Linked DNA regions of Arabidopsis thaliana. Each later gene encodes a partner of the first gene's protein in a complex. Each region holds a gene or a part of one and is shown in the gene's direction. Other genes may lie near its edges. The genes, in order: RS40, U2B'', SMU2 and SKIP.

What was found.
Region 2: RS40 (region 1) and U2B'' share a complex: the UniProt entries of both Arabidopsis thaliana proteins name them as parts of the spliceosome.
Region 3: RS40 (region 1) and SMU2 share a complex: the UniProt entries of both Arabidopsis thaliana proteins name them as parts of the spliceosome.
Region 4: RS40 (region 1) and SKIP share a complex: the UniProt entries of both Arabidopsis thaliana proteins name them as parts of the spliceosome.

What each region holds. Positions count from the first base shown.
Region 1 is NC_003075.7:13,022,851-13,027,942, forward strand, and holds RS40 (arginine/serine-rich splicing factor 35), read left to right. Parts: upstream 1-1,647; 5' UTR 1,648-1,827; intron 1,828-1,914; exon of another isoform or gene 1,915-1,981; intron 1,982-2,104; exon of another isoform or gene 2,105-2,312; 5' UTR 2,313-2,317; coding exon 2,318-2,423; exon of another isoform or gene 2,424-2,999; coding exon of another isoform or gene 3,000-3,006; exon of another isoform or gene 3,007-3,162; coding exon of another isoform or gene 3,163-3,205; coding exon 3,206-3,318; intron 3,319-3,406; coding exon 3,407-3,648; intron 3,649-3,721; coding exon 3,722-4,279; intron 4,280-4,359; coding exon 4,360-4,393; 3' UTR 4,394-4,590; downstream 4,591-5,092. Other genes in the region: AT4G25510 (uncharacterized protein), read right to left, coding at 4,593-4,653, 4,798-5,092. UniProt on the Arabidopsis thaliana protein: Required for constitutive and alternative pre-mRNA splicing. Involved in primary miRNA processing and pri-miRNA biogenesis. Binds both intronless and intron-containing pri-miRNAs.
Region 2 is NC_003071.7:12,904,845-12,909,548, reverse strand, and holds U2B'' (U2 small nuclear ribonucleoprotein B), read left to right. Parts: upstream 1-1,883; 5' UTR 1,884-2,114; coding exon 2,115-2,187; intron 2,188-2,526; coding exon 2,527-2,699; intron 2,700-3,299; coding exon 3,300-3,393; intron 3,394-3,506; coding exon 3,507-3,595; coding exon of another isoform or gene 3,596-3,655; exon of another isoform or gene 3,656-3,722; coding exon 3,723-3,992; 3' UTR 3,993-4,204; downstream 4,205-4,704. Other genes in the region: AT2G30270 (LURP-one-like protein (DUF567)), read left to right, coding at 492-713, 904-1,104, 1,397-1,522; WRKY25 (WRKY DNA-binding protein 25), read left to right, coding at 4,460-4,696. UniProt on the Arabidopsis thaliana protein: Involved in nuclear pre-mRNA splicing.
Region 3 is NC_003071.7:11,254,387-11,260,906, reverse strand, and holds SMU2 (RED family protein), read left to right. Parts: upstream 1-1,836; 5' UTR 1,837-1,993; coding exon 1,994-2,040; intron 2,041-2,131; coding exon 2,132-2,272; intron 2,273-2,367; coding exon 2,368-2,417; intron 2,418-2,494; coding exon 2,495-2,609; intron 2,610-2,684; coding exon 2,685-2,733; intron 2,734-2,834; coding exon 2,835-2,924; intron 2,925-3,473; coding exon 3,474-3,542; intron 3,543-3,949; coding exon 3,950-4,073; intron 4,074-4,554; coding exon 4,555-4,961; intron 4,962-5,104; coding exon 5,105-5,488; intron 5,489-5,576; coding exon 5,577-5,858; 3' UTR 5,859-5,975; downstream 5,976-6,520. Other genes in the region: AT2G26470 (embryonic stem cell-specific 5-hydroxymethylcytosine-binding protein), read left to right, coding at 417-526, 607-672, 824-1,591. UniProt on the Arabidopsis thaliana protein: Auxiliary spliceosomal protein involved in splicing of specific pre-mRNAs that affect multiple aspects of development.
Region 4 is NC_003070.9:28,999,044-29,003,666, reverse strand, and holds SKIP (chromatin protein family), read left to right. Parts: upstream 1-1,531; 5' UTR 1,532-1,703; intron 1,704-1,826; exon of another isoform or gene 1,827-2,002; 5' UTR 2,003-2,034; coding exon 2,035-3,876; 3' UTR 3,877-4,090; downstream 4,091-4,623. Other genes in the region: AT1G77170 (Tetratricopeptide repeat (TPR)-like superfamily protein), read left to right, coding at 4,131-4,623. UniProt on the Arabidopsis thaliana protein: Splicing factor involved in post-transcriptional regulation of circadian clock and flowering time genes. Associates with the pre-mRNA of PRR7, PRR9, ELF3 and GI, and is necessary for the regulation of their alternative splicing and mRNA maturation.

The sequences.
Region 1 (5,092 bases):
GAAGCAATCCCACGATGTTCCACTCGCTGTCTGACGTGTGTCCTTTGACCCTTGTAAAGAGACTTTTGACTCTTCACTCGTTAACCTTTATGAGTTCTTTAAATTCTATCGAGTGTGTGCCTGTGTGGTTGGCTGGCTGCTGTTGTTACAATCGTTTTTAAATTCCTATGAATAAACAAATTGTCATTAATTGTCACCCGTCTATAACATAATAGACATAAATATCTCTGTGAAATGATATTTTAAATACTCATGTAGTATTTGTATTGGAAGTAGATGTCCTAATATTTAACCAAAAATAATACTACAATATAGAAAAGCTTGATTTTTTAAAAAAATTAATCAGATTTGGTAATGGATAATTATCAATTTCGATGGACGGTTAAAAATGAGTCATAAATGCATATGATGAACAAAATTATTCAGTTTAAACAAACTATAACCAAAAACATGTAAATGGACCAGGACAGGACTAAGCGAAGGATTAGACCAATACAAAATAGCAAGTTATCTTGAATCCCAATAATTCCCACAAAATATCTCAATCTCAATAATAGCTATATTGTATTGACAAAAAAAAGGTATAAAAAATCTTCACAATAAGATATGCATGAAATATATTCGCTGACAAAAATATCTCTCTCGTTACCTCTCGCTCTCACGTTATTGACATTTAGGAGAAAAGAAGACACAACAAAGAGGGAAAAAAAGAGTGGTAAGGTGAAGAAAACAACAAAATTGGCTTTAGTGGAAAATAGAAAGTAAAGCTTGAGAGTGACGTATGGGGCCAGTGAAGGCTGGTGGGGAAGGTAGGGACAGTGTTTCCGCGGCCGAACCACGGGTTTAGAGGATTTTGACGTCCCCACGCATTATCTTGTGGAACCCATCTTTCTGTTTTTGGAAAATCGTACGGACGTTCGTTTTTGAATTATTTGCTGAATCGGGTTGTTTGGGTTTCTACTCTGTTTTGGGATTCTTCAGTGGATTGGACTGGATCTTTTGTAGCTTTTTGTTGGTAGATTTGAGACGCCTCTATTTTATGAATATCTTAATAGCTTTTTGTTGCATATTCAAGCGAGATAAGAAGATAATTGAGGCTTTATGGCATATTTGAAAAGTCGAAACTCGTTCTCATTCCACGTGTGATGATATGTTCGTGGCCACATATCATTCGGCCTTGAAAGCAACTACTAAACTCTTAACATAAGTGAAGCAATCCAATGAAGAGGAAAACAATTTATTTAATTAATTGTAATATATAAATATACACATTTCTTTATAACAACAATTATTAAACTTACTAACAAACTCATATGTTTCATCGAATCCAAAACTTGACATGTGGGATCTTGAGAGTGTTAAGTTGCAAGACTTTTTAAAAACTTGTATGCATTATTCATTGTGTAGATGTTATGTGATACATGTTCTAGTTCTATTAATCAGTATATTCTAATCAAAATTAAAAAATCTAATATTTGTTTGTCTTCATAATCTGTTATTGTTTTGTTTTTTTAGAAAGCAGCTTCAATTTTGTTTACTTGTTGGGCTTCTTATAATTTGTTTAACATATAGGCCCAATACTCCTAAAAAGTAGACGTTCTCGACTTCTCGTCCTTCAGACAAAATAAGAAAGTCAAAATGTGTTCTGAAAAAAATATCTTTGAAACTAAAAAGAAAAGAAAATAAAATAAAAATCCAAATGATCTCTCTTGCCTTCTTTATCTAAATCGTACCTAACTCTGTTTTCAGTTTCACCTATCTCTCGACGCGAGCTTCTTCTTCTTCTAGGGCTTCCACGCGACTACGCCTGCCAAAATCATTCTACAGGTAAATTGATGCAGTTTATTCACTCTCTATATCGTCGTGGTTCTCATCTCCTTCTTCCTTCTTTTTTTTTTGGTTGGTGAAAAGTAGAACAAGAGAATTGGTCCATCTCGTTTTTTATAAGTTGAATCTCATCAGAGCCTTCTTTGTTTTTCTGGTATGAAAGATTCATGCTTTCGTGGATTGTTCTCGTTTTCTCTATCTTGTGAATGATATTCAGATCTAACTGTAGTTAGATTAGATCTGTTGCATTGTACTTTTGATTCTAATACTGTCTAGTTCAGTTCCTAGATTTAACTGATTTGGAGCTCGAATAGATGAGTTTCAAGTCCTAATTTACTGCAAAACAATTCGATTTAGTGTGAGGGCTCTAGTTTTTAGTGTTAAAAGTTTTCATCTTGGTGACAAATTAGTTGTGATATTCGTGTTTAAATTATCATTTAAGGAAGTCTCATGAATCTTTTTTACTATTGTGGTTGTCTATACAGGAAGCATGAAGCCAGTCTTCTGTGGGAACTTTGAGTATGATGCGCGCGAAGGTGACCTGGAACGACTATTCAGGAAATACGGCAAGGTTGAGAGGGTTGATATGAAAGCTGGTGAGCCTTTTTTTTCTTTCTTTCTTTCTTCTGCCTCTTACTACTCTGTCTTTGTGGTTAACCTGAATGAATTATAATAAGCAGTATTGTTATCCACTAAGTACAATGAAAAAGCGAAATTCAAATGCATTTCATGAAATCCACTCTCGTCTTCATTCCATCCACGAGAAGGCTCTGGTGGACTATCTCCCTTTGGAAGGAGTACTAAACATTGACCACATTCACCTGGCCACCTGATGCAGCCTGCTTGAACTTTGGAAAGTACTTCAGAGGAATAAGATTTTTAGAAAAAAAATTAGTGTAAAACCGCATTTTCTTTGACGCAGGATGTGTTTGATAATCTTGGGACGCCTATACTCACACCTGGCCATGAATGGACCATAGGGAAATCCATCTCTTATCCCTCAAAATCAGTCACTTTCCATCCGCATTAGCACTGCCATCTTAATTGCATTTCATTCCTCATCACTTTGCACACTTGGACATGCCTCTGCAATGGAGAAGGCTCTCTATTTTCATTCATATCCCCGTCTGACTTCCACATTTTCAGTTGTTCCTTGACATATTAATTCCATAATGCAAGGTCTGTAACTGCTTCACTGGTCATTTGGAGTTTTTTTAAGGTTCTAGGAATGTTCAAAATTTAATATGTTCTAGGAGTTAAGTTAGGCGTTGAAGGAGGGAGGACAGTGTTCGTGTATGTTGAAGGTTCTTAATCTGGTCCACTTCCTCACTGTTAATGTACTCAGATCTTTGCTTTTGGCTTTTTCTTTTTTCTCCAGGGTTTGCTTTTGTATACATGGAAGATGAAAGGGATGCGGAAGATGCCATCCGAGCACTTGACCGCTTTGAATTTGGGCGTAAGGGACGCAGACTTCGTGTTGAATGGACAAAGGTAGGATACTTACCCCAGGATTTATTTCTTTCCAGACTTAGTTATGAGGTTTGAAATACTGATAACATAAATGGTTCTGTGTATATAGAGTGAACGTGGAGGTGATAAAAGATCTGGTGGTGGTTCAAGGAGATCCTCATCCAGCATGAGACCTTCCAAGACTCTCTTTGTGATTAACTTTGATGCGGATAATACTAGGACCCGGGATCTAGAGAAACACTTTGAGCCGTATGGAAAGATCGTAAACGTTAGGATCAGGAGGAATTTTGCATTTATCCAGTACGAGGCACAAGAGGATGCCACCAGAGCATTGGATGCTTCAAATAACAGGTTTGTTCTGTCCATTTTAGTATCTAATCACTTTCCTTTCTTAGACTCACGTTTCATCTGTGTTTTCATTCAGTAAGCTGATGGATAAGGTGATCTCGGTGGAGTATGCTGTGAAGGATGATGATGCTAGAGGAAATGGACACAGTCCTGAAAGACGCCGTGATAGGTCACCTGAAAGGAGAAGGCGATCACCTAGTCCTTACAAAAGAGAAAGAGGAAGCCCTGATTATGGCCGAGGAGCTAGTCCTGTTGCTGCCTACAGAAAGGAAAGGACCAGTCCTGACTATGGTCGAAGACGTAGCCCAAGTCCTTACAAGAAATCAAGACGTGGCAGTCCCGAGTATGGTCGTGACCGCAGAGGCAATGATAGCCCTCGCAGGAGGGAGAGAGTCGCAAGCCCTACTAAGTACAGCCGCAGTCCCAACAACAAGAGAGAGAGGATGAGCCCTAATCACAGCCCGTTCAAGAAGGAGAGTCCGAGAAATGGGGTTGGTGAAGTTGAAAGTCCCATTGAAAGGAGAGAGAGATCGAGGTCTAGCCCCGAGAATGGCCAAGTTGAAAGCCCTGGGTCAATAGGAAGAAGAGACAGTGATGGTGGGTATGATGGTGCAGAGAGCCCAATGCAGAAGAGGTTAGATTCTGAAATAGGTCGATACTTGTTTATATATTATTGATGACATGAATCGTAAACCATTTCTCTTGTTGTTGCAGCCGGTCTCCTCGTTCGCCACCAGCTGACGAGTGATAAGAGTGGATCCACAATCTCTATCAAAGTAGGATGTTGTAACTGTTTGTAGTCAACAACGCTATGTCGTCGTGATTAGTTTTTGTCGTTTGGTTTTTGATAGATTCGAACTCGGATCACTTTTATTGTCGGATTGAAAAACTTATGTCAAGTTACTACATTTCCGTTTTTTTTTATCACCTCTCAGTTTGAACCCCAATCATGTAATGCTTTCCCGTGACAATAAGATGCGAACCTCAAAACATCTTGCATCGAAACACCTTGAGAGTGACAAAATCGAACGCATCGTTAAGTAACTTAAATGGTACGCCGAAATTATGGAAGGCAAGAACGGTTCTATTGACTTAATTGGGTCTAAAAACTACTCTAAACGCCTCTTGTCAACGTTCGAACTAGTCCCTAACCTTTGACTCAAATATAAATATTGGCTACAAATAGACTTATAGTTCTGCCTACATTGGTCGTCTGCTTTAGTATATTTGTTACCAAGTAAAATGCTGCTGTAGAGTTTAATGATCTCTTTGTCTACTGGGTTTCTCCAATTTTCTGATCGTTGGGATTCGTGCAAGTCGAGAGAGTCTACTTGGTTGAAACTTTCTGGGTTTTGATTTGAGTTGCCCATTGGATTTGAAGTTTTAGTCTTTTGTTGGTAAGTTTTACCCTTTGAGATATGCTCGTCTGATAGTATAGGGCTTTCGA
Region 2 (4,704 bases), on another chromosome or scaffold:
GGATGGAAATGCAAAAAAAAAAACCTTTATAAATCAATTCATGTCAAAGGTATGTTCACTAAAAATGTATCTTTTCCAACAAACACATATGTTAAACCATACGTTTTTCCAACCTAATGTAAGTAACACATTTACCATTTTCTATTAATTTATTAATCAAGATCAAACATCAAAAAAATGTGTTATTACTTTTTAGTTTTTTTTTTTGCATTTCAGTTTTGTGTGAAAAAAAAAACAAGAATTGGTATCTCAAGAACGTAAAAGAAAATTATCATTACTATTTTATTATCTTTGGCTTCTACATCCAATTATTTACTTGCTTAATTTTATTCATCTGAATTATTTTTTGGTGTAAGAAGAATGTTTCGCCGCAAAAAAAAAAATCTGATCCGACATCATTAGAACAAAAAAAAACATTGGCGTTGAATATAAGCTGCTTCTCTTGTTCTTCTTCTACCTTACGCTTCTGACTGTTATTAGAGACTATGTAAATGGCTGATTCCGAGACTCCGTATCACCCCGACCCTGAGGATCTCCGGCGTATACCAGTCGATCTCTTCGCTTCCAAAAAGCTTCCCGGACTTTCCTCCGGCGATCTCGGATTTGCCGATTCTTCCGAACATCTCGTCTTCATCCTCCGCAAATCTTCTTCCTCCTTGAAATCTCTCCTTGATTCCTCCGGAGTTCCTCTCTTCTCCATCTCTCGTCTCCACGTAAGCCTCCTTCGTCCCAAATTTCATCGATTTTGGCAATTCTCATCGCTACTTGTTTAAATCTCATTATTCATTACATAGTCCACACGATGTTTATACTTTTTGATTGTTTGGGTTTTGTTAGTTAGTCACTGGCTTGAGATATATCATAAGAACACTTACAGATCTTTGTATATGTATTGGAATGTAGAATGGAGTGTGGGAATTACATAAAGGAGATGTGGAAAAGCGTAAGGATTTGGTTCTAACGGTGAAGCGGACATCGAAAAGATTCAGTAAGACAGAGTCAGAGGTCTCTTTTGCTGGAGAATCGTCCGAAAATCTTGTTATCAAAGGTGTTCCCTTTCAGAAATCTTGTACCATTTATAGTCAAGATTCCATTGTTGCACAGGTAAAGATACTCATCTTCTCCCAATTACAGCACTATTGAACATTCTATAGCTAGACAAGAGTCAATACCGTGTTATACTGGTTTTGATTACCGGGTTCAAAACTCATCGTTTGGATCATGCTTGCTGATGGATAAACAACCAACCCTTTGTTTCGTTCATTTGAAGTCGGATTCATTAGGCTTGTAAAATTTGCTTGGATTCTAATACACTTGTTTTAAAGATTTTTGTTGTTGTTGTTGTGTTTGAACATTTGCCTCAATCTGATTTATGTTCCTTTAAATGTGGTGGCAGACGAGTTTGATGTACAAGCTGAGACAGATTTACGTAGGGAGAAGCAAGTTCCGGTTAACGATATTTCCTGGATCCATCGATCATTCACTAGTAGTCGCAATGGTTGCCATATTTCTTCAAGGATGAAAGTGAAACATCCTCGATTTATTTTCTCAGTGTAAAGAAAAATGTAACACAGAAACAAAAAGGCATTTTAGTACATTGCATTTTTAATGCCTTTTGATTCAATCGGCTCACACGTGAATTGTATTATCTATCACATGAATATTGAGATATACTAAGGTCTAAGGTTAAATCTTTTTTCAGAACAAATTTGCAAGCTCAGCTGGAAAAATACAACATCATTTACATTATTTTAAAAAGTTGTTGAACATTTGAATCAAAATGATTCACAAGACTTTTGTTGGAATTTTGCAATAAAAAAATTGATCTCGAGTCTATAAAAGTCCAATCCCGACCACTCATTCTATTTCCGGTTCAATTCTGTCTAGCCGGTCAAATTCAAATCCGGTCCATCCGGTCGGCTCATTCACGTTGGTACAAAAGTTTAGGAAATCGAACCAACAAACTAAACGGCGTCGTTAAATAGTCTGATGTTGAAACGCAGCTATTTCTTTTACTCTTCTTCGTCTCTCTCATTCCCAGTTCCCACCATTAGGGCTCTCTCTAAATTCCTCAGTCTCGAGAATCTTCATCGTCTTCACGAGCTCACTCGAAGATGTTAACGGCAGATATACCACCGAATCAATCAATCTACATCCAAAACCTCAACGAAAGGATCAAGAAAGAGGGTAAACTTCTCTTCTCGTTTAATCTAATTCGTCAAGTAAATTTCCAAATTCTTAGATGTTGAAACCTCCATGAACTTCCTGTACCAATGATTCAAGCTTCTACAGTACTGAATGTTAGGGTTTTTGCTTGTTTTTAGCTTATATAGAGTGTTCGTTTCTAAATACTAGGGTTTCAGAATCGTATTGAATCTAGTGACAAGGTTATAAGGAAGATATATATGTTGGTGTTGTCTGTTTTCGCCATTGTATGGATAATTGTTATAGACGTGTGAAGTAGTGTTGGCTCAGGGCAGTATCATCAATCTCATGCTTTATCTGACTTGGTTTTTGTTTTCTCAGAATTGAAGAGATCTCTTTACTGTTTGTTCTCTCAGTTTGGGAGGATACTTGATGTGGTTGCTTTGAAGACTCCGAAGCTCCGAGGACAAGCTTGGGTTACTTTTAGTGAAGTCACTGCTGCTGGTCATGCTGTTCGTCAGATGCAAAATTTTCCCTTCTATGATAAACCAATGGTCAGTATTTCATCACTCTTGAGTATATCAATCTCTTTATAGTTTCCATGAAAGTGATCTTCTATGTGTTGTATAGATCGATAGAAGCAAATCGTTAGTGTGTTTGTGTAATTGATTACTAACAATTTGTTTTGGAACCTTTGACCTTTTTCTATTCCCAATCCATTGGTAGTCATATATGTGTTTAGATTTTGTTGCTGTTGATGAGTAACCAATGATTAGTATCCACTACCTTTTCTGTCTTGAGTATATCAATCTCTGTATAATTTCCCTGGAAGTGATATTCTGTGTGTTGTATAGATTGATTGATGCGGTAAAAGCAGAAATCCTTAGTGTGTTTATGTGATTACCAATGATTACCTTTGACTGTGTTATTCTCAATCAACATTTAGTTATATGTGTGTTTGGATTTTGTTGCTGACCTTCTCAAATCACATTCTCTTATGATTTCTGTTGTCAAAATGTTTGTTCTGTTTGATATATACATTGTTTTTATAACTAAATCTTACCTCTTTCGATTGTTTGTAAACTATTCAACTACTTCCAATCAGGTTGAGATTTATTATTATTCATACTTTTTATGTGATCTTTTAAGTGCAGCGCTTACAATATGCAAAAGCAAAGTCAGATTGTCTAGCTAAAGCTGAGGGAACTTTCGTTCCAAAAGATAAGAAGAGGAAGCAAGAAGAAAAAGGTTTTAAACTTTATTTCTTCTTTTTGCATTTTGTCGTAGATGTTGGTTCAATGATACAACTATAAAATTTTCACTTGCATCTAAAGTTAACAAACTTCCTTTCTTACTTTCAGTTGAAAGAAAGCGTGAAGATTCCCAACGACCAAACACGGCTAATGGCCCAAGTGCTAATGGTCCAAGTGCCAATAACGGAGTCCCTGCGGTAAGTGTTCTTGTTCTCACCTTCATCTTCAGAAAAATCTTCCATTGTTGGATCATGTGAACCAAACTATTGTTATCTGGAGATGATGCTGATGTTTTGCGTTTTATCTCTGCTCTTCTTAATGCAGCCTTCGTTCCAGCCGAGCGGGCAAGAAACAATGCCACCAAACAACATACTCTTCATTCAGAATCTCCCACACGAGACAACAAGCATGATGCTACAGCTTCTCTTCGAACAGTACCCTGGATTCAAAGAGATAAGAATGATCGACGCAAAACCAGGAATCGCGTTTGTAGAGTACGAAGATGATGTTCAAGCTTCCATAGCTATGCAACCTCTTCAAGGTTTCAAAATCACTCCCCAGAATCCAATGGTCATCTCTTTCGCCAAGAAATGATAAGAGTCTTGTTTTTGTTTGTTTGTTGTCCTTTAAGACGATAGTACTGGACCAACCAAACCTGGTGTGTATAACCAACCAACGGTTCTATTGGTTAACGGATTAATCCGGTTTTGGTTTAATCATTGAAAGAGACCCTTGAAACGCGGTTTCACACTTGACGATTTATCACAAATTAGGAGACGACTCATCAAAAAAGAATATCTTACTGGTCAACCATTTTATAGAAATATTAAAATCAAAAATGATATTTAGGCCAAAGTAGAAAAAGACAAGAAGAGAGAGAAACAAAAAAAACCTTGCTCAATACGCCACCGTCGTCGTCTTTAACCCAATCTAAAAGCCTCTGTTCTTTTTTAGTTTTATCCTCTTTTTCATTTCAAGATCAATTTCATAAAAAAGTTTCCTTTTTTAGCGAATCCTCTGTTTTAGAAATCTTAAAGTTGTCTCCTTTATTAAAGACCATCATGTCTTCCACTTCTTTCACCGACCTTCTTGGTTCTTCCGGCGTTGACTGTTACGAAGATGATGAAGACTTGAGAGTTTCTGGGTCGAGTTTTGGTGGGTACTATCCAGAGAGAACCGGGTCTGGTTTACCTAAGTTCAAGACGGCTCAACCACCACCTCTTCCGATTTCACAATCTTCTCATAACTTCACTTTCTCCGATTACCTTGATTCTCCTCTGCTTCTCAGCTCCTCACACGTAATAAA
Region 3 (6,520 bases), on another chromosome or scaffold:
CAGTAATGATTCTCAGTAGCACAATGAAACACATAGCATATGAAGTTGGGAATTGTATATTTGTCTATGGACGCTTGAAGCTTGTGTTCCTCGTTGTTTAAAATGAGGTTTAATCAAACCCGCACATTAATAAAGATACAAACTTATCATAGTAGTATGAGTTGTTTCTGTTTTCGTATTACATCTGATTTGATAAGCTCTTTTAGAAAAGATACATATGTAATTGCATGAGAATCTTTAACTTCTTTAAGTACTGGAATAGAACAAGCAGTGGCTGTTTAAGGTAGTTTAATATTGAGAGTAGCGTTTCTTATACAATGCTTACATTATTAGCGGCTGTTGATGATTGTTTTGTTGATTTGCAGCAGCCCTGAATTTTTGTGTTAACACGTGAGTTTGTTTATTTTTCATGTAAGACAGAATGCCTGTAATTCTTGGTGATAAGGATTCAATCGACACATGGTTAGATGATCCCTCGACAACGAAACTGCAGCCATTACTTTCACCATATGAAAAATCGGATTTGGTATGCAATTGCTTACTTCCTCGCATATAAGAGTGGTCTTTCCTTTTTCATTTACTTGAGATTGAAGTTTGAACTTTCAGGTATGGTATCCAGTAACCTCTGCAATTGGTAAACCAACGTTTGATGGACCAGAGTGTATTCAACAGGTACGGTTAACATCTTTCCCTTTCTTAGTAGTGTACAACTCAAATCTCAAGTTTGATCTCAAGTCGCATTAAACATATTGTCAGGATCACTATGTATTTGTACAGTCTGTATGCTTATTGTCATTTCAAATAAGGATTATGCCACCTGCAGATACCGCTAAAGACTTCACAAAATAGCTTGATCTCGAAGTTTTTCTCAACAAAGCAGCCCAAAACAGATGAAGGAGACAAAGAAACCAAATCAACAGATGCAAATATCATAGTTGATTTGAAAAAGGAACCTACGGCTGAAAAGGACACGTTTTCTGACAGCATTAAGAAAATTGAAGAACTAGACGGGGAGAAAGATATGTCGAATGTAGCCAAAAATCTGGAGTTTCAAGAGATTGTGAAAGCAGAACCATTTGTTGAAGATAACTCAGCAGTTGCGTCACTTCCTGAACCTGTAAAGAATGATGTTCAGGAGGGTACAAAGGAAGAAGGCAAATCCCTAAAGACTGGTCTTACTAAAGAAACAGGTGAGAGCAGTGCCAGTATACCGGCTGAGTCCTACATCCTTGATCTCCAAAGAATCTCAAAAGAAGAACCCGAGACTCAAAGCCATCATTTCTTTACTGCAGATGAGAGATTGAATCAGCTGCATGAGGCTGTCGAAGATATTCCAGGAAATGAAAACCAGAAGACAGTTTTAACTAGCCCGACGACGAAGGAAGGTGGCTTAGTGTTTAGCGAAAAGAGTGGGACAAAGCGAGACTATGAGGTATTCTCAGCTCAAGAAAAGCCACAGAAACACTATGAGAGGTTGCAAAATGTTAAAAGCAGTGGGAAACAAGGAAAGATGCATGGAATGGGGAAATCTAACATCAAGAAATCTAAGGAGACGCAGTCTACATTACATTTCTTTTTCGATGAGAAATAGTTTTGAGTCTACATAACATCTATGAGGACCATGTTGGCCTACTTTTGTTGTAGATAATGTTAGATAAGACCATCGTTTTGGGAATGTTGCTTGTATTGTATGTGTAGTGTTTGATCTTTGATCTAAGGTAATATTATTATGAATGAATTGGGTTTTTAATGTCCTTGGTGGATGGTAAAAATTTGTGAACCAGGTTTCGATAATCAAACCCGGTCGCTAAACGATTTTATCGGTTTAAATTAGATCCGGTTTCTAAATTAAACATCGAATTCTAATTTCCCCTGACCAGAACCACCAACGCTTTGAAATCGAAACAGACACAGATATCATCAGAACGAAGAACTTCAGCCAAAATCTGATTTTTCTCTGTTTCACGACAAGAAATCGAATTAACGAAATCTAATGAAACCTTCAAAATCGCATCACAAGGAGAAAACCGCTCGTCGGAGGTCAGAAATCTTCATTTTCCTCTCTCCCCTTTTCTTCAAAAGCTAGGGTTTTTACACAAAAACATCAAAACTCGTCACTTTTCCTTCACAGAGAGGAGAAACTAGAGGAATCCGATAATCCAAAATACAGAGATCGTGCTAAAGAAAGAAGAGAGAATCAAAATCCTGATTATGATCCATCAGAGCTTAGTTCTTTCCATGCCGTTGCTCCTCCCGGAGCTGTCGATATCCGGTAGCACTTGTCTTTCCTCGATTACTTCATTATCTTTCTAAATTCTAATTGGGTTTCTCTAAATTTCTGTTGCTGTGTACTTTTTTTTGTTGTAGTGCTGCTGATGCACTTAAGATATCTATTGAGAACAGCAAATATCTTGGAGGTTTGTGTTAGGTTTACAAATTTATTCAAAATGTTTTTTTTTTGAGGTGCTTATGTTGTTTTTATGATATGGTTTAGGTGATGTTGAACATACCCATTTAGTTAAGGGTTTGGATTATGCTTTGTTGAATAAAGTACGAAGCGAAATCGTTAAGAAACCTGATGGTGAAGATGGTGATGGTGGGAAGACTAGGTAGATTTGGTTATACTTGGTTTATTGACTCATTTGGCTTCTTTGATTCAAGTGCTAATTTTACTATATTAACAGTGCGCCTAAGGAAGATCAGCGAGTTACTTTCCGTACCATAGCTGCAAAGGTATGCAATTTTGTTCTGAACTTTGCAGATGAGGAGCAAGTTTTGGGATGTAGTTAACGCGCTTGATGTTTTTTGTTTCTCTTGTCTTTGATCTGTTTCAGTCAGTTTACCAGTGGATTGTTAAGCCTCAGACTATCATCAAGTCTAATGAGATGTTTCTTCCCGGTAGAATGACATTTGTCTATGATATGGTATTGCTTGTTAACTCTTTTTCAGGAAGATTCAATCTTATTACATGTTCTTATGTCGTTGTTTGTCTTAGGAAGTAGTCATACATGTGTATTCTGCTTCAACGATTCTTCTTCGAGTATTAGTTAATATTTAGTTAAATCTTCGCTTCTAGTTTAAATACATGTCTCAGGAAAATTTTAAGAAGGTAGCTTAAGCTGTTTTGCATTACCTTGTTAGCGATTTATTCACGATTTAATCTATTTGTTAGAAACCTTATACGCAGAATTGGTTGTAAAGGTTTTTTAGTTCGATTAACGTGTCTGCTCTTCTTGAAGAAGCATATTCTTTTTCTCTTGCAGATAGAGACACCATACGACAAGAAAAGTCAGTTGAATATACTATTGATATTTGGTAGTGTTACGTATGAAGTTTCCTTTGAGATACTTAGTCTCAGCTAAGCTGCTAGGCTAAGCTTATAGTATGGGTTTAGTCTGCCCTTTGAAAGCCTCCCTGTTGATGTATATTAATTTTATTCCCTTTTGTTTTTAATTCTATTTGTTGCTTTTCAGGAAGGTGGCTATACCCATGACATACCGACCACGTTATATAGGAGTAAAGCTGACTGCCCGGTGCCCGAGGTATGTATACTTAGAGTCCTTGTTGTAATAGTCTTCTTGATCCTGGAAAAATCTTTAGACTGTAAGCAGTGATGTGACATGATCGTTTTGATTCTAATGAAAATAAGCCCACTCTGCCTGTCTCTGCAACCTATTTTCTTTTACAGTGTTGATGTATTCAATACAGCTAATATCGATTATATAAGTCATTAGTTTTGGTAGAAGCATAGATTTTCTTTAAGTAATTATAAAAATCTTTTTAAACTAAATTCAACTTTCTTTCTACTAATCTGGAACCAAAATTAACGTTGCTTAATATGTTTGTTTACTGAACATAATAAAAATTTATAATTGAAATCACTGCTGCAATTTTTGCGAGAATTGTTTCATTTAACAGGCACTGTTTCTCTGTCCTATCTCCCCAACAGGAATTTGTCACAGTCAATGTTGATGGTTCTGTGCTAGATCGAATTGCTAAAATCATGTCATATCTTCGCCTTGGGTCGTCGGGGAAAGTTCTCAAGAAGAAAAAGAAAGAAAAAGATGGGAAAGGTATTTTGCATCTACTGGTGCATTTTTTTGTAAAGTTTAAGTATTAGCAGACCTGATTCACTTACACTGGTTAAATAAGTTCTCTGCTTTTCCCGAAATTTGTTAATTATCTGGTCTTACAGTTTGGAGCCAAGAATGTAAAGAGTGTACCTAGTCTTTGACCACAGTACTAGTAGTATCTACTGATGTCTGGTTGTGTTCTCGCTTATCAATTGTGAAGAAATTTAGTTGTATCATAAATATGTTGCTGCCGTCCCTTGATGGTTCTGTAAACTCTGTTGTTAGTAATTTTTATTATGCTAATGTGGTGCCAGTACATGTTGTAGTTCTTGTTTCACATCAGCATACAATTGGATACAAGTTGGCTGGTTTCTGATTCTTTAGCAAGATAATTTGCTAATTTCTATTCTATCATACGTTCATGCATTTTTTATATTATTTTGCCTTATTAATCACATCCACTGCAACTTTTCAAATGCAGGAAAGATGTCAACTATTGCTAATGATTATGATGAAGACGACAATAAATCTAAGATTGAGAATGGATCTTCTGTGAACATAAGTGACAGGGAAGTTTTACCTCCTCCTCCGCCATTACCACCTGGGATAAACCATCTGGATTTGAGTACGAAACAAGAAGAACCCCCTGTTGCCAGGACAGACGATGATGACATATTTGTTGGTGAAGGCGTCGATTACACGGTTCCTGGTAAAGATGTGACACAGAGTCCTATTTCTGAGGACATGGAAGAATCTCCCAGGGATAAGGAGAAAGTATCTTATTTCGATGAGCCTGCTTATGGTCCAGTGCAGGAGAAGGTACCTTATTTCGCTGAGCCTGCTTATGGTCCAGTGCAGCCATCTGCTGGTCAGGAATGGCAAGATATGGTCAGTTCACCCTAGCTAATCCTTGGTTGTATTTATTCTCAAATCTTGATCCTCGTCTGCAAATTTTGCGTCTTGGTATGTAGTTATTAGATGTCATTTATTCCCATATTTAGGTTTTTTCTGGTGGTTGTGTGTTTTTCCAGAGTGCATATGGTGCAATGCAAACTCAAGGACTGGCTCCTGGGTACCCCGGAGAGTGGCAGGAATACCAATATGCAGAGCAAACTGGGTATCAGGAGCAGTACCTTCAACCTGGAATGGAGGGTTACGAGGTCCAACCAGAAACCGATGTTTTACTAGATCCTCAACTCATGTCGCAGGAAGAGAAAGATAGGGGTTTGGGATCGGTTTTCAAGCGTGATGACCAAAGGCTTCAACAGTTGAGGGAGAGTGACGCAAGGGAGAAAGATCCAACTTTTGTATCCGAGAGTTATTCAGAGTGTTATCCAGGTTACCAAGAGTACAACCATGAGATTGTCGGTAGTGATGAAGAACCTGATTTGTCTAAAATGGACATGGGTGGAAAGGTATGCCCTGACTTAATTACATGTTCCTTGTTATTTATTGTGGAAGAGCAAAATTACAGTATCTGGTTGTTGAATGTACATGGAACAGGCAAAGGGTGGTTTACATCGATGGGACTTTGAGACAGAAGAGGAATGGGAAAAATATAATGAGCAGAAGGAAGCGATGCCAAAAGCGGCGTTCCAATTCGGGGTAAAGATGCAAGATGGTCGAAAGACAAGGAAGCAGAACCGTGACCGTGACCAGAAGCTCAATAATGAACTTCACCAGATCAATAAGATACTTACGAGAAAGAAGATGGAGAAGGAGGGTGGGGATGTTGCTTCTTTGGATGCCGCCGAGGCACAAACTCCTAAGAGATCCAAGCATTGATTTGTCTCTTGTCTACTCCAGTCATTCTCTCGTAATCTATTTTGTATCTTCAAGTCTGTTTAGGTTTTTGGTACCTTGAGTTCAAATTCTTAATTTAGAAAAGATTTTACGTCCAAATTTTGAAATGATAGCATTCTTATTTCCTAATTACCCATTAAACACGAAGCAGTTTTGGGAGTTGGGACAGCCTTAGGTTTTAGGTTTAGCATCACCAAAAATGAGACGCTTCAGTAACCAACCCAACAAGACAAGCAAAAAACTAGAAAAATCATAAAACCCTAATCAGAAAAATGGCCACAGATTCCATGAATGCAGCCACCGTCAATGACTCCGACCGTTTCATCTTCTCCACACCTCTCTCCGCTCGTGGTTCAACCAAACGTGACGCCATCTCCGTCGAGGATCTTGGCCAATACACTCTTCTCAAACTCCATTCAAATCCGGTTTCACAAACTACATAGATCTTGGCCAATACAACGACGAAGATGACGATGTAAGAATCCTCTGTTTCACACCAATCTCCATAGAAAAGGGACAGTCCTCTGTTTGACCAATACAACGACGAAGACGCTCTTTCGACTGCGAGATATGTGTTGAACGAAAACCAAGGATTGAATCTTTTCGAATCAATGGCTGTTCTCACACTTATTGCAACGATTGTG
Region 4 (4,623 bases), on another chromosome or scaffold:
GCACTAACTCATATGCAAATCCAACGATGTGAAATTTAAAACCTTTTTTTTATTCATTTTTAATCTTTGTAAAACGAACTTATATTATGTTTGAACAAATATTTTTTCATACGCAATCCTTAGATGGGGAAATTAATACCTTTGTAACAAAAAAAAAAAAAAAATGTTAAATCAACTAAGTATTGGGTGAGTCTTCTCAACGAAAACATCAATCAACACCGGCCTCATAAGTTGATTAAATTAACACATTTATTATAATCATCGTACATTGATTTGAATCAAAATTAATTGTTACGTTAATTAGTAATGCATCTAACTATCCCGTAGGAAAAGGCCATTATATTGGGATCCGCGGTCAACGGAGGTTCCACCCACGAGCACGGTCTTTATTTGTTTTTTCCTTTCTCAAATATATATACGGATGTATGATTTTTTGCTTTTGGGGTTAAACAAATATGAATTACTGTGCTTAGATCAGAAATAGACACTTTTATACAAATGATTATATGATTACTGTTCATAGCATAAGCTCCTATGAAAACAAATAATAATCGCAACAGCCGTTTAACCTAATCGAATGCTGAAAAGCCCTCAAAATAGTTCATCTAATCCATGAATCGATTTAACAGAAAAAGTTGAAAATTGTATGCATATGATATACTCAAGTATATTCCGAGTTTTGAGTTGTGTAATGCAAGGAGTCAAGGACCATAGTTTGTCGTTGAACACAACCACGCCAAGTTGTCCACCAAAACTGGAAACTAACTACCATGCCGTTGTTTCCATAGAAGCAAAACCATTAACCTTCCCATTATCCCGCATGGCCACATATATGTTTAATAATATTTCTCACCATACATTTAAGTCTCTCTCGTAGTCGTTATTTACATAGCCTACGTAGTTCATTCATATCATTTTTGTTTCTTTACCTTATATCAAACAAATTGGTTGTTGATTAGAAAAACATAAATTGGTTCATTAAATATCAAACTAACGCCATCAATCTATTGTTTTTTTATAAAAAAATGAAAGAGAAGAAAGTTTGTTGATATGAAACTTACACTTGCTTTGAGTTTTGATAGACAAACCAAAGCCTAACTAGTATTTCCTCTATTGGTACTTGAATTCTGAACTTTTTCACCTTCCCTTTCGAGGTGGTTTAACAGTATACCAGTTGAGATGTACCAACACCAAATTCTTATACTTTTTTTTCTTTTAACCTTGAATTCAGTATTTTAAACGAAACTATGGGAATGTGTTTGAGACGGATTTTCATTAAGGACAATGCAAATAATTATGAGATGCTCAGAATTGTTGTATATATCAAAAAGCCAACACCTATAGTTATATATATAACTTTCTTCGATTTAAAAACAATAAGTCGCTTTGGCCGAGTGGTTAAGGCGTGTGCCTGCTAAGTACATGGGCTCTGCCCGCGAGAGTTCGAATCTCTCAGGCGACGTTATCCTTTTCGTTTTTTCGTCTATTTTTAAACCGACTTACATAGACACTGCGTATAAGACAATTGATTCCTTTTTTTTGTTGTTAATCCTATCAACCCTAGAAAAGGCTTCACGCCCGATTTCTTTTTTCCCCAGAAAAAGGCTTCACTTCCGTTCGTTGTTCTTCATCGGTCTGCGCCGCCTCGCACATCGTTTCACCTTTCTCAGAATCTCTCTTCCCGTCGATTAGTTTCCTCAGAGGTTAGCTTCTTCGATTTCTCAGATTCAATTCTGCTTTTTGCTTTCCTCCTGTTGTTTTTAGGTTTTTGTCGATCTCTATGTTCAGCGATTCCTAAACCCTACTTGTTTTCCGCTCTATTGTAGTGAATCCAACCCAGATTTTTCAGATTTTAATCGGAATTATTCGGGATCTAATGCTCGCGTCGAGTTTATCGCTAGAAAACCCTAATTTCGGAGGATCTGTCACTTTTATTATCAGAAGCTTGTTGTTGTAATTACGGATTAGGTATGTCCTGATCGTTATTGTTCTTTGTTTGCAGGTTGCGATTTGTTGAAAACCTTGATTTAGACTATGAAGTCTCTTAATGATCTTCCTGCGCCCAAATCAACCACTACCACGTATTATGATCATTCTAATGATGCTTGGTTCAAAAACCGAGTCACTGAATCCGAGACGGTGAAATCCTCCAGTATCAAATTTAAAGTGGTGCCTGCTTACCTGAATCGTCAAGGTTTACGTCCGAAGAATCCAGAGGATTTTGGCGATGGTGGTGCTTTCCCGGAGATTCATCTTCCTCAGTATCCTCTTCTTATGGGTAAGAATAAATCCAATAAGCCTGGAGCTAAGACTCTCCCTGTTACTGTCGATGCTCAGGGAAACGTGGTCTTTGACGCTATAGTGAGGCAGAATGAGAACTCGAGGAAGATTGTTTATTCTCAGCATAAGGATATTATTCCAAAGTTTCTGAAAAACGAGGGAGACTTGGGTACTGTTGTTGATGAAGAGGAGGAATTGCAGAAGGAGATTCAGGAGACTGCTGAAGAAACGAAAGCTGCCATTGAGAAGATTGTGAATGTGAGACTGAGTGCAGCGCAGCCTAGTAATATAGCAAGGCAATCGGGAGATTCACAGTACATTAAATATAAGCCATCCCAGCAATCTTCTGCCTTCAATTCTGGTGCTAAAGAGAGGATCATTAGGATGGTGGAGATGCCTGTAGATCCACTTGATCCACCAAAGTTCAAGCACAAGAGAGTCCCAAGGGCTTCTGGTTCTCCGCCTGTTCCGGTCATGCATTCACCGCCCAGGCCTGTTACCGTCAAGGACCAGCAAGACTGGAAAATCCCTCCTTGTATCTCCAATTGGAAGAATCCGAAAGGTTACACAATCCCTCTTGACAAACGTCTAGCTGCTGATGGAAGGGGCCTACAAGACGTTCAGATCAATGATAACTTTGCCAAGTTATCAGAGGCCCTCTATGTAGCTGAGCAGAAAGCTAGAGAGGCTGTTTCAATGCGTTCCAAGGTGCAAAAAGAGATGGTGATGAAGGACAAGGAAAGGAAAGAGCAGGAATTGAGGGCTCTTGCCCAAAAAGCTCGCTCCGAAAGAACCGGTGCTGCTATGAGTATGCCTGTCTCATCTGACAGGGGTAGGAGTGAAAGTGTTGACCCAAGAGGTGATTATGACAACTATGACCAGGATAGAGGAAGGGAAAGAGAAAGGGAAGAGCCTCAAGAGACGAGGGAGGAGAGGGAAAAAAGGATTCAGAGAGAAAAGATACGAGAAGAGCGTCGCAGGGAAAGAGAGAGGGAGAGAAGGTTGGATGCCAAAGATGCTGCCATGGGGAAGAAGAGCAAGATCACCAGAGACAGAGACCGTGACATCAGTGAGAAAGTTGCTCTTGGAATGGCATCTACTGGAGGAAAAGGTGGTGGTGAAGTTATGTATGATCAACGTCTGTTTAACCAAGACAAAGGAATGGACTCTGGTTTCGCTGCTGATGACCAATACAACTTATACGACAAAGGCTTGTTCACTGCACAACCAACTCTTTCGACTTTGTACAAGCCAAAGAAGGATAACGATGAAGAAATGTATGGAAACGCTGATGAGCAGCTCGATAAGATCAAGAATACTGAGAGGTTTAAGCCTGACAAAGCTTTCACAGGGGCTTCAGAGAGGGTGGGTAGTAAGAGAGACCGACCTGTTGAGTTTGAGAAGGAAGAGGAACAAGATCCTTTCGGTCTTGAGAAGTGGGTTTCTGATTTAAAGAAGGGTAAGAAACCTTTGGACAAGATCGGGTCTGGTGGAACTATGAGAGCAAGTGGCGGTGGTGGTAGCTCTTCAAGGGACGATGACCACGGCGGTTCTGGTCGAACCAAGATCAATTTCGAACGCAGTGACCGGCGTTAAAAGTCAAGACAAAGAAAAAGCTCAGTAACTGATCTTTGATTTCAATATATAACTTGTTATTTTGGATCTGTTAAAACAGTTTGCTTTGGATTATCAGTATTTATGTTGTTGTGAGTCTCTTAAACTACTCGAATACAATCTTTCAGCTTCATAATATCAGATCTTTTGAGCTTATTTTAGTTTCTTTTTCACTGTTACAACTTTGTGTACTTAAGAATCTTAGTTTTGAATCAGGACAACAACAAAAAAGACACATGTTCTTCTCTGGTCTTATCTCCAAGCTTCATGTTCATGGTACTAAGAGAACAAATCACTTCACGATCTTTCACCGTTTGAATCATTTCGTCACTACATCATCTTCCTCGGTTACGCCTCTTTCGCCTCAAGATCGAAACAAACTCTTAGCTACTCTGTTATCAAACTGCACTAGCCTAGCTCGTGTTCGTCGGATCCATGGTGACATCTTCCGTTCACGAATCCTCGATCAATATCCGATCGCTTTCTTATGGAACAACATCATGCGATCTTACATTCGCCATGAGTCTCCTCTCGATGCAATTCAAGTATATCTCGGTATGGTGAGATCGACTGTTTTACCCGATCGATATTCTCTTCCGATTGTAATCAAAGCAGCCGTTCAAATTCATGATTTTACGTTGGGAAAGGAGCTTCATTCCGTCGCCGTTAGGTTAGGGTTCGTCGGAGATGAGTTCTGCGAGAGTGGGTTCATTACATTGTATTGTAAAG